Linked DNA regions of Mus musculus. The protein of the gene in region 1 binds, or shares a complex with, the protein of each later gene. Links are inferred from orthologs where the notes say so. Each region holds a gene or a part of one and is shown on either strand. Other genes may lie near its edges.

Region 1 (3,579 bases):
CCTGTCTCAAAGAAGACTTACCTTCATGACAGTGTGTGTGTGTGTGTGTGTGTGTGTGTGTATACACACCCCTTGCCTCTAAGAGTACCTGCCTTTTGGTCTTTTCATTTGTCACTTAGAATAGCAGTGCAGACACAGAGATACTTTGTTTCTCTCCGCCATACTTCCATAGCAGATGTAACAATTTGGGGGCTAGTGTAGGGAGGGGTAAAGCAGGCAGGCAGGCTGTCCCTTCAAGACACAGCTGACGAACACACCAGATGGGAAGTTGGCTCACTGGGGGCTTCTCATTCCAACTGCAATCTCCCAGAGCTAGAGACTGCTCAAAGGGTAGGAGTATTTACTATGCAAGCATGAGCTAGGTGTGGCCACACCACATGTGACTGTGACCTTAATACCATGTGTAGGGGGGTGGCACTAGAAGGAGAATTGTAGGGTGTTGCCTCCCAGACTAGCTCCAGGCTCAAGAGACTCTGTCTCAGCAGAAGGTGCAATATGGTGGATCAGGACACCAGCACCCTCCTTTGGCCTCTGCATGTGTGCACAGATGCACACATCTAAACACATACCAGGCCCACATACACCGTACCCCACCACCACACAAAGATGGACTCTCTCAATTTATAAACACTGGCAAATACCATAAAGCGTTTTAAAAGTTCCCCTAGTGACCACATTACCCACAATGCTACTGCTTAAAAGCTCTGACCTGGATTCTGGGAGTGTACAGATGCTTTGGGCAAGGAGTGGGAGCACCTGCCAGTGAGAGCACCTGCCAGTGGGAGCACACTCCATTGGGAGCACCCGCCAGTGGGAGCATCTGCCAGTGGGGTCCACTCAAGTCTGTTTCTCCAGGTTTAAAGTCCCGGATGCGAGCCCTGCTGGTCATTCCTGTCGTGATGGGCATCCTCATCACCATTTTCGGGGTGTTTCTCTATATCAGTGAGTGCTCAGGAGAGGAAAGGGAGGGAGGGTTCAGCCCTGTCGAACCAGCCTCCTGACTCACCCTCGCAATGTCCCACACCCCTTCTTCTTCTCACTAGAAAAGGTGGTCAAGAAACCAAAGGATAATGAGGTAAGCCATCCCTGAGGGAGAGATGCTGGAAAGAGTGACTGGTGGGCAGGGAGGGAGGCTCACGGCGTAGGGAGACAGACTCAGTAAGCAGAGAGCTTGTATTGGATCCTTGAGTGTGGACCCATGGAAAAGGCCCATTACACCCACGCTGGTGGGGGCGGGGAGAGGGGGGGAGGATGGACACAGGGATCTTAGGAGCTTGCTAGCCAACCATGGGCTACTCCAGGTTCCAAGAGAAACCCTGACTCGGAAAATAAGGGTTAAGAGTGCAAGAAGACACAAGATGTTGACCTCTAGCCTCTAATAATGTGTACATGGGTGTGTGGACCCTCTACGCCATGAGCATACACCCAATACCACGCCACACTCCGCGCGCGCACATGCGCGCACACACATGCCCAAACAGGTTTAGGGTCCGTTCCCTGGAACATATAGGTGGGCTACTCGCACCCCCACCCAGCCCTGCTCTCAGTCTCCATCGCTTCCTCCTACTCAACTACTTCCCCTTAGGGCAGAGCTGGGCACCACTGGCAGAGAAACTCTGGCTGTGCTTTCCTCCAGCCTTGAATGCTGGGGATGGGAGTCGGCGGCGGGGGGTGGGGGTGGGGGGTGGGGGTGGGTGGATCCCGCCTTCAGGGGCCAGTAGGTGGAACCAAAGGGGCAGTTTCTCCTGCTGGTCTGCAGTGGCTCTGGAAATTTCCTGCCAAATTTCATGTGTCCAGCAGGGGGCAGAAGGCATCCAAGAAATCAGTTTTGGTACACCCCCATCCTCCCACCCCATTGGAAAGGACTTGAAGGAGGGATTCTATTCCTCAGAGGCAGGGTGGCTCTGTGGCTAGAGGTGACATTGGACCTTATACCTTGACTCCCCAGATCTTACCCCCTGCGGCTCGACGGCAAGATCCCCAGGAGATGGAAGATTATCCCGGTCATAACACCGCTGCTCCAGTGCAGGAGACGCTGCACGGGTGTCAGCCTGTCACACAGGAGGATGGTAAAGAGAGTCGCATCTCAGTGCAGGAGCGGCAGGTGACAGACAGCATAGCCTTGAGGCCCCTGGTCTGAACCCTGGAACTGCTTTGGAGGCGATGGCTCGGCTCGGGAGCAGGGGCCTGGCTCTGAGGACTGCTTGCTGACCTTTGAAGTTTGAGATGAGCCAAGACAGAGCCCAGTGCAGCTAACTCTCATGCCTGCCCCCTATCATTTCTCAACTTGCTTTTTAAGGATGGAGGGAGAGCTCGGGCATCGGGGGTCCACAGTGATACCTACCAAGTGCAGCAGTGCAGGACCCAGAGTCGTCTTGCTGCGGCGTTCACTGTAAGGAGTCATGGACACAGGAGTCCGTGGCCCACAGCTTGTGCTGCTAGAGGGCACCTGGTTGCCCATCAGCAGGGTACTGGCTAAATAAATCTGTAATTATTTATACAATGACATCTCAGAAACTCTAGCAGGTGGGGCAGAAAACAGGTAGTAGAATGATGGGTAGAGAAATAGCTTTTAAAACACATTCCAAGGCAGGTAAGATGGCTTTTGTGAGTAAAGGAGCTTGCTGCCCAAACCCGGTTACCTGATTTTGATCCCTGGGACTTCATGGTAAAAGGGAGAGAACCAAATCCAGAGGGTTGTCATTTGACCTCCATGTGTGCTCTGTGGTAATGTACCCCGTGTGTGCACATGTGCACATATCCTAAAATGGATGTGGTGGTGTATTGTAGAAATTATTTAATCCCGCCCTGGGGTTTCTACCTGTGTGTTACCATTTAGTTCTTGAATAAAAGACACACTCAACCTTTATATTTACAATAAGCCTTAAACAGCACAAGAACTGGGCACCTGCCTACCCTGTATGCTATTTGAATCTACTTTCCTATTGATAACCCCCAGTTATTACTTACTACTTACTATGTTTCATCGGGGCTGCTCTTATCTCCTATTGGCCAGCCCCAGGTCCATGTTCTCTTAAACTCTCCTAATCCATGGTGGCTTCTCTTTCCTCCATTCACCTCTTCTCTCTCTTGGTTCTCTTCTAACGCCAAGCCCAGGAATACTAAGCCCCACCTATGTCTCTTCTGTCTAGCTATTGGCTGCTGGCATCTTTATTTACCAATCAGAAATAACTTGGGGTCACTTGGGGGGGTTGTCTACAGTACAGACTCCAGGTCTTGGGGCCACAAACCCATTACAATACAGAGCAAGATCAAACCTCAACAGTGGTGCATGCCTGTAACCCTAGCACTCAGGAGGAAGAGGACTAGGAGTTCAAGGCTAGCCTTGGATATATAGTTAACTCAAGGTCAGCCTGGGCTACATGATTGTCTTAGTTGGGGTTTTATTGCTGTAAACAGACACCATGAGCAAGGCAACTCTTAAAAGGACAACATTTAATTGGGGCTGGCTTACAGGTTCAGAGGTTCAGTCCATTATCCTCAAGGCAGGAACATGGCAGCATCCAGGCAGGCATGGTGCAGGAGGACCTGAGAGTTCTATATCTTCATCTGAAGGCT
Region 2 (4,266 bases), on another chromosome or scaffold:
ATGACATCACAATGGCCATTCATACATGTATACTTCCGAAAACAGTGTCACAACCTGAGGTGGTTTGGCCTCAGCTTAGTTTGTTCATCATATAAAGAGTTAGGAATCATTTGGAAAACTCATTTCATAGGGTATGAAAACTGTTAAAAAAAATAGGGATAACTATATATTGTGTGAGATGCCTCCAAAGTCTTTTTCCTTAGCATCTTTAGTCTGTCTTCTCCAAAACCTATGGGTTAGGCAAAGCCCTTTGTGTAGGGGAGAGTGAGAGGCAAAGTGACTTACTGGGAGTTCGTAGGAATTTATTAGTACAGCAAGGACTAGAATCCAGGTTTCTCAGCTGAAGCTCAGTTTTCATATCCTTAGCTACATATCAGTATAGTGGACTGTAACTGTGAAGACAGAGAATGTGGCCGAATTAGGCTAATCATTGCCTTTAGCTTCAGTCCCCAAGTTTCTGTCTGATTTCCCAAACACCGTAGCTAGCTTTGCTTTTCACCAACGTTTTTATTGGTTTGTTTTTTACATAAATTCTCTTTCTAGCTACATCTTATTTAATAAATGTGGAGCCCTTTTTTTGCTTTATGACATGTAGTTTTGACTAGTAAAGCTAGAAAGATTTTATTGAGCTTAGAGATTAAAGAATCAAAGTCCTGAGAAGCAATTAAGGGGCGGCACACTGGACATGAAATCAGTCCTTATATTTGCTAACATCTAGTCCTTTAACTTTATACCAGGTTCCAGATTTATGTTAGTAAGATTGAAATTGAAATAAGTTTATTACTAGTGGACTCATTTGTCACTTTCCTTGAAACTGGTGAACCCCAAACTTTAGAGAGCAATAGGAAAAATACTGCCATTGTCTTTTAAGAAGTCTGACATTTCAAGGCAAGAATGAATGTATGGAAGAAGAAACCCGTTTCTTCTTTACTAACAAAAGGGAAAGCCTGGAAGTGAATGATATGGGTGTGATTTAAAAAAAGAAAAGGAAAGAAAAGAAAAGAAAAACCCTTTACGTAACTTTTTTTGCTGGGACAGAAGACTACGAAGCACATTTTCCAGGAAGTGTGGGTTGCGACGATTGTGCGCTCTTAACTAATCCTGAGTAAGGCGGCCACTTTGACAGTCTTCTCATGCTGCCTCTGTCCCATTCTTGGTCAGAAGACACCATTTCAGCTTTCAGTCAGCATGATAGAAACATACAGCCAACCTTCCCCCAGATCCGTGGCAACTGGACTTCCAGCGAGCATGAAGATTTTTATGTATTTACTTACTGTTTTCCTTATCACCCAAATGATTGGATCTGTGCTTTTTGCTGTGTATCTTCATAGAAGATTGGATAAGGTAAGGTGACCTACAAGCCTTAATTAGCTAAATTGGGGGTTCTTATTGATCTAGGACGGTTTGAATTAAGTTCTACCTAAATGATGGAGAACAGTAGAAAGTGGATAATGTTTGTTGTGGCATAATGTTTGTTGCCTAGAAAGTAGAACCTTACCTCTGACTAAGATCTTGGAATGTGCAATCAGACAGCCTGGCTTCAAATCTTAGCTTAGCTCTTAACTGCTCTGAGATTCTGCACATGTCACTTCATATTTTCATTTCTTTTTCTGTCCCAGGGAAATAGAGGTAGACATAGTACCCATGGCACAGATCAAATGATTCTAGCCCTGAAGAGGAGATAAACTATGCCTGGCACATAGTACATGCTAGTTAGTTCCTAAAAGTTGCTCCCCAAAGTGAACTATTTCCCCCCACGAAGACAACTTTAAAAAAATGAGCCCCATGAAAACAACTTTAAAAGGTGAGCCAGAAAAAAAGGAACATTGATTTGATCTGAAATTCCATTGTGTTTTGGATGAGTACAGACATGAACTATGCTCCCAATCTGCCGATTGATTTTTAAAGTCAGAATGGTGCTATCTGTGCAACTCTTCAATGCCAACTGCCACTGTAAGCTGCTCTGTGCTCCGCGGAGGAGATTTTCCATGCTTAAATGATTAGGAAGGGAGCAGACTAGCTAAGAACAGTAACTTCAGGATCTACGCTGTTTCCATGTGCTGGCTCATATCCACTGAGGGCCATATGGGCTGTGTTATGAAATGCTAAGGGATAATGGGGAAGTTGTAACCCATATAGACTCAAATGTGCTGTCAAATTTAAGTGAACTTTAAATGACAGGCAAAGCTATTGGCAAACTCCACCTTATATTTTGTTTTGATTTTATTTGGTTAAGTTTGGATTTTTCCCCCCTTTTTGAGACAGTTTCATACTGTAGCTCAGAATGGTCTGGAACTCTCTAGATAGACGAAACTGGCTTCTAACTCACAGGAACACTCCTGCCTCATCCTACAAATATAGAGATTACACACATGTTCCACTATACTTGTATTGGTTCTTGTTTTGAAAGTTAAGAATTTGCCCTTAAGACAAGAAGAAATTGTTCAGAATTAGTTGACAACACAAGTTAATTGCATACATTTAATTACTCACATATAAAAAAGAAAATATTGCATTCACTTTGGGGATAAGAGATAATTTCTTTTAAAATGCAAAGCATTTCTACAAGTACAGAAGAAATGAGAGATGTAATTATAAATCCATGTTGTGAATGAATGCCGCTGTAATGCCTCGTGTCATGAACACTACCATGAAGCAGGCAAACTAGCTCGGCAGCAAACTACTTTATGGCTGGTGGGAAACATGACAATTATAGGACACTGCTGTTGTGGTACACTGAGATTAAAAGTCATTAGAATAGCTATGATTTCTATTGAGAGGCACAGAAAATATGCCATCGGAATCACCGGCTTTTTAGGCTGTTAAATGGCAAGTGCCAAACAGCAGTAATCCAGCATGATACCTTTTAATATTCCCCCATTTACACTGTCAAAGTCCCCCTCTCGTCGGTGCCATGGAAGTGGATGTGGAGGCAGACGTGATTAGCTGCATTCTTCTTCACTATGACATTTCTCACCAGTCTCCTATTTCAAAACAGGTCGAAGAGGAAGTAAACCTTCATGAAGATTTTGTATTCATAAAAAAGCTAAAGAGATGCAACAAAGGAGAAGGATCTTTATCCTTGCTGAACTGTGAGGAGATGAGAAGGCAATTTGAAGACCTTGTCAAGGTAAGGTGCTCAGCTCCTGGCAGATTTCACAGAGAAGTTTTCTTACATTTCCCAGTCCTGCAAACTGAATTCTGACCCTGGGAAGCTTTAACGTATAAGCAGGGATAGTGGGCACAGCTGCGATCTCAGCGCCTGAGAGGCCAAAGTCAAAGGACGACTGCTGTGGGTTCCAGGTCAGCTTGGTCTACAGAGTGAGACATGATCAAAATGTACTGTATATAAACATACTCGTACATATATATACATGTACACACATATGTGTAGGTGTGGAAATGTGTACATACAAAAAGAAAAGAAAAGACAAAGCCTTACAATAAAATGAAGAAGAGAGCTGAGTTGGCTATGTGCATACTACTGCAACAACAAAAAAGTTTTCATTCTTTTGTACAGATAATGTGTAATCCAATAATAGAGTAAAGAAGTCAGGATCTTACTTCATTTATAAATTCATGACACATATGGAAGTCACAGGACAGCTTTCGAGTCTTGCTTCTTTCCTTCCACTGTGTGAATCCTGCAGATTGAACTCACATCCTTAGGCTTAGCCTTTACCCACTGAGCCACTTCATTGTTCTCTTCAAACCTTATTTCAGAACTTAATATACATCCTCCTATTTGGTCAGCAAGGTATAATTTAACCTAGTGAAGAGGAAGATTCTAAAAACTTACTCCTAGGCCACTTACTGGGATCAGAATTCAGTTCAAATCTGCCTGACTTTATTTTAAGCTAGAATGTATTTTTTTTTAATTTTTCAAGACAATCTTGAGTAGCATAGGATGGTCCTCAGCTTGTAGAAGACTTGTATGTGGCTGAAGACCTGCTCTCCACATCCTTCTGCTTCTAACCTCAGGCATGCAGCACTATGTCCAGTTTAATCTAGATTTTATTGTTTTAGTTTTGTACAATGCTCAGTTGTTTGTACCTTGTGTATTAACCCTCCCCATTCTATAATCTAGGATTTCCATAAAATTCTTAACACTTTATTTGCAAGACTGGTGAGTTTAGAAAATGTCTTAGGTTTCTCCAGTGCTTACATGTAGAGTCCTAGGGACTGAGACTCTATAAGGACACAACCAGCTCTGGTCTTCTCTCTGTGATCAGTCTTCAGTTTCTTTGAACGGCAGTGAAAGTGGCT

Evidence for each region.
Region 2: the proteins of Cd40 (region 1) and Cd40lg are in contact, whole or in part, in a crystal structure (PDB 3QD6), measured with the Homo sapiens proteins. The link is inferred for Mus musculus from reciprocal best matches to the Homo sapiens genes CD40 and CD40LG. Residues at the interface, in NP_001241.1 of Homo sapiens: Glu64, Ser65, Glu66, His76, Cys77, Gln79, Tyr82, Asp84, Asn86, Leu87, Trp109, Cys119; in NP_000065.1 of Homo sapiens: Ile127, Glu129, Ala130, Lys143, Gly144, Tyr145, Tyr146, Cys178, Pro217, Cys218, Gln220, Ser245, Gln246, Ser248, His249, Gly250, Thr251, Gly252.

The regions. Positions count from the first base shown.
Region 1 is NC_000068.7:165,068,774-165,072,352, forward strand, and holds the end of Cd40 (tumor necrosis factor receptor superfamily member 5 isoform 1 precursor), read left to right. Parts: intron 1-855; coding exon 856-942; exon of another isoform or gene 943-1,043; coding exon 1,044-1,075; intron 1,076-1,948; coding exon 1,949-2,140; 3' UTR 2,141-2,185; coding exon of another isoform or gene 2,186-2,197; 3' UTR 2,198-2,881; downstream 2,882-3,579.
Region 2 is NC_000086.7:57,210,967-57,215,232, forward strand, and holds the start of Cd40lg (CD40 ligand), read left to right. Parts: upstream 1-1,176; 5' UTR 1,177-1,188; coding exon 1,189-1,344; intron 1,345-2,998; coding exon 2,999-3,130; intron 3,131-4,266. UniProt on the Homo sapiens protein: Cytokine that acts as a ligand to CD40/TNFRSF5. Costimulates T-cell proliferation and cytokine production.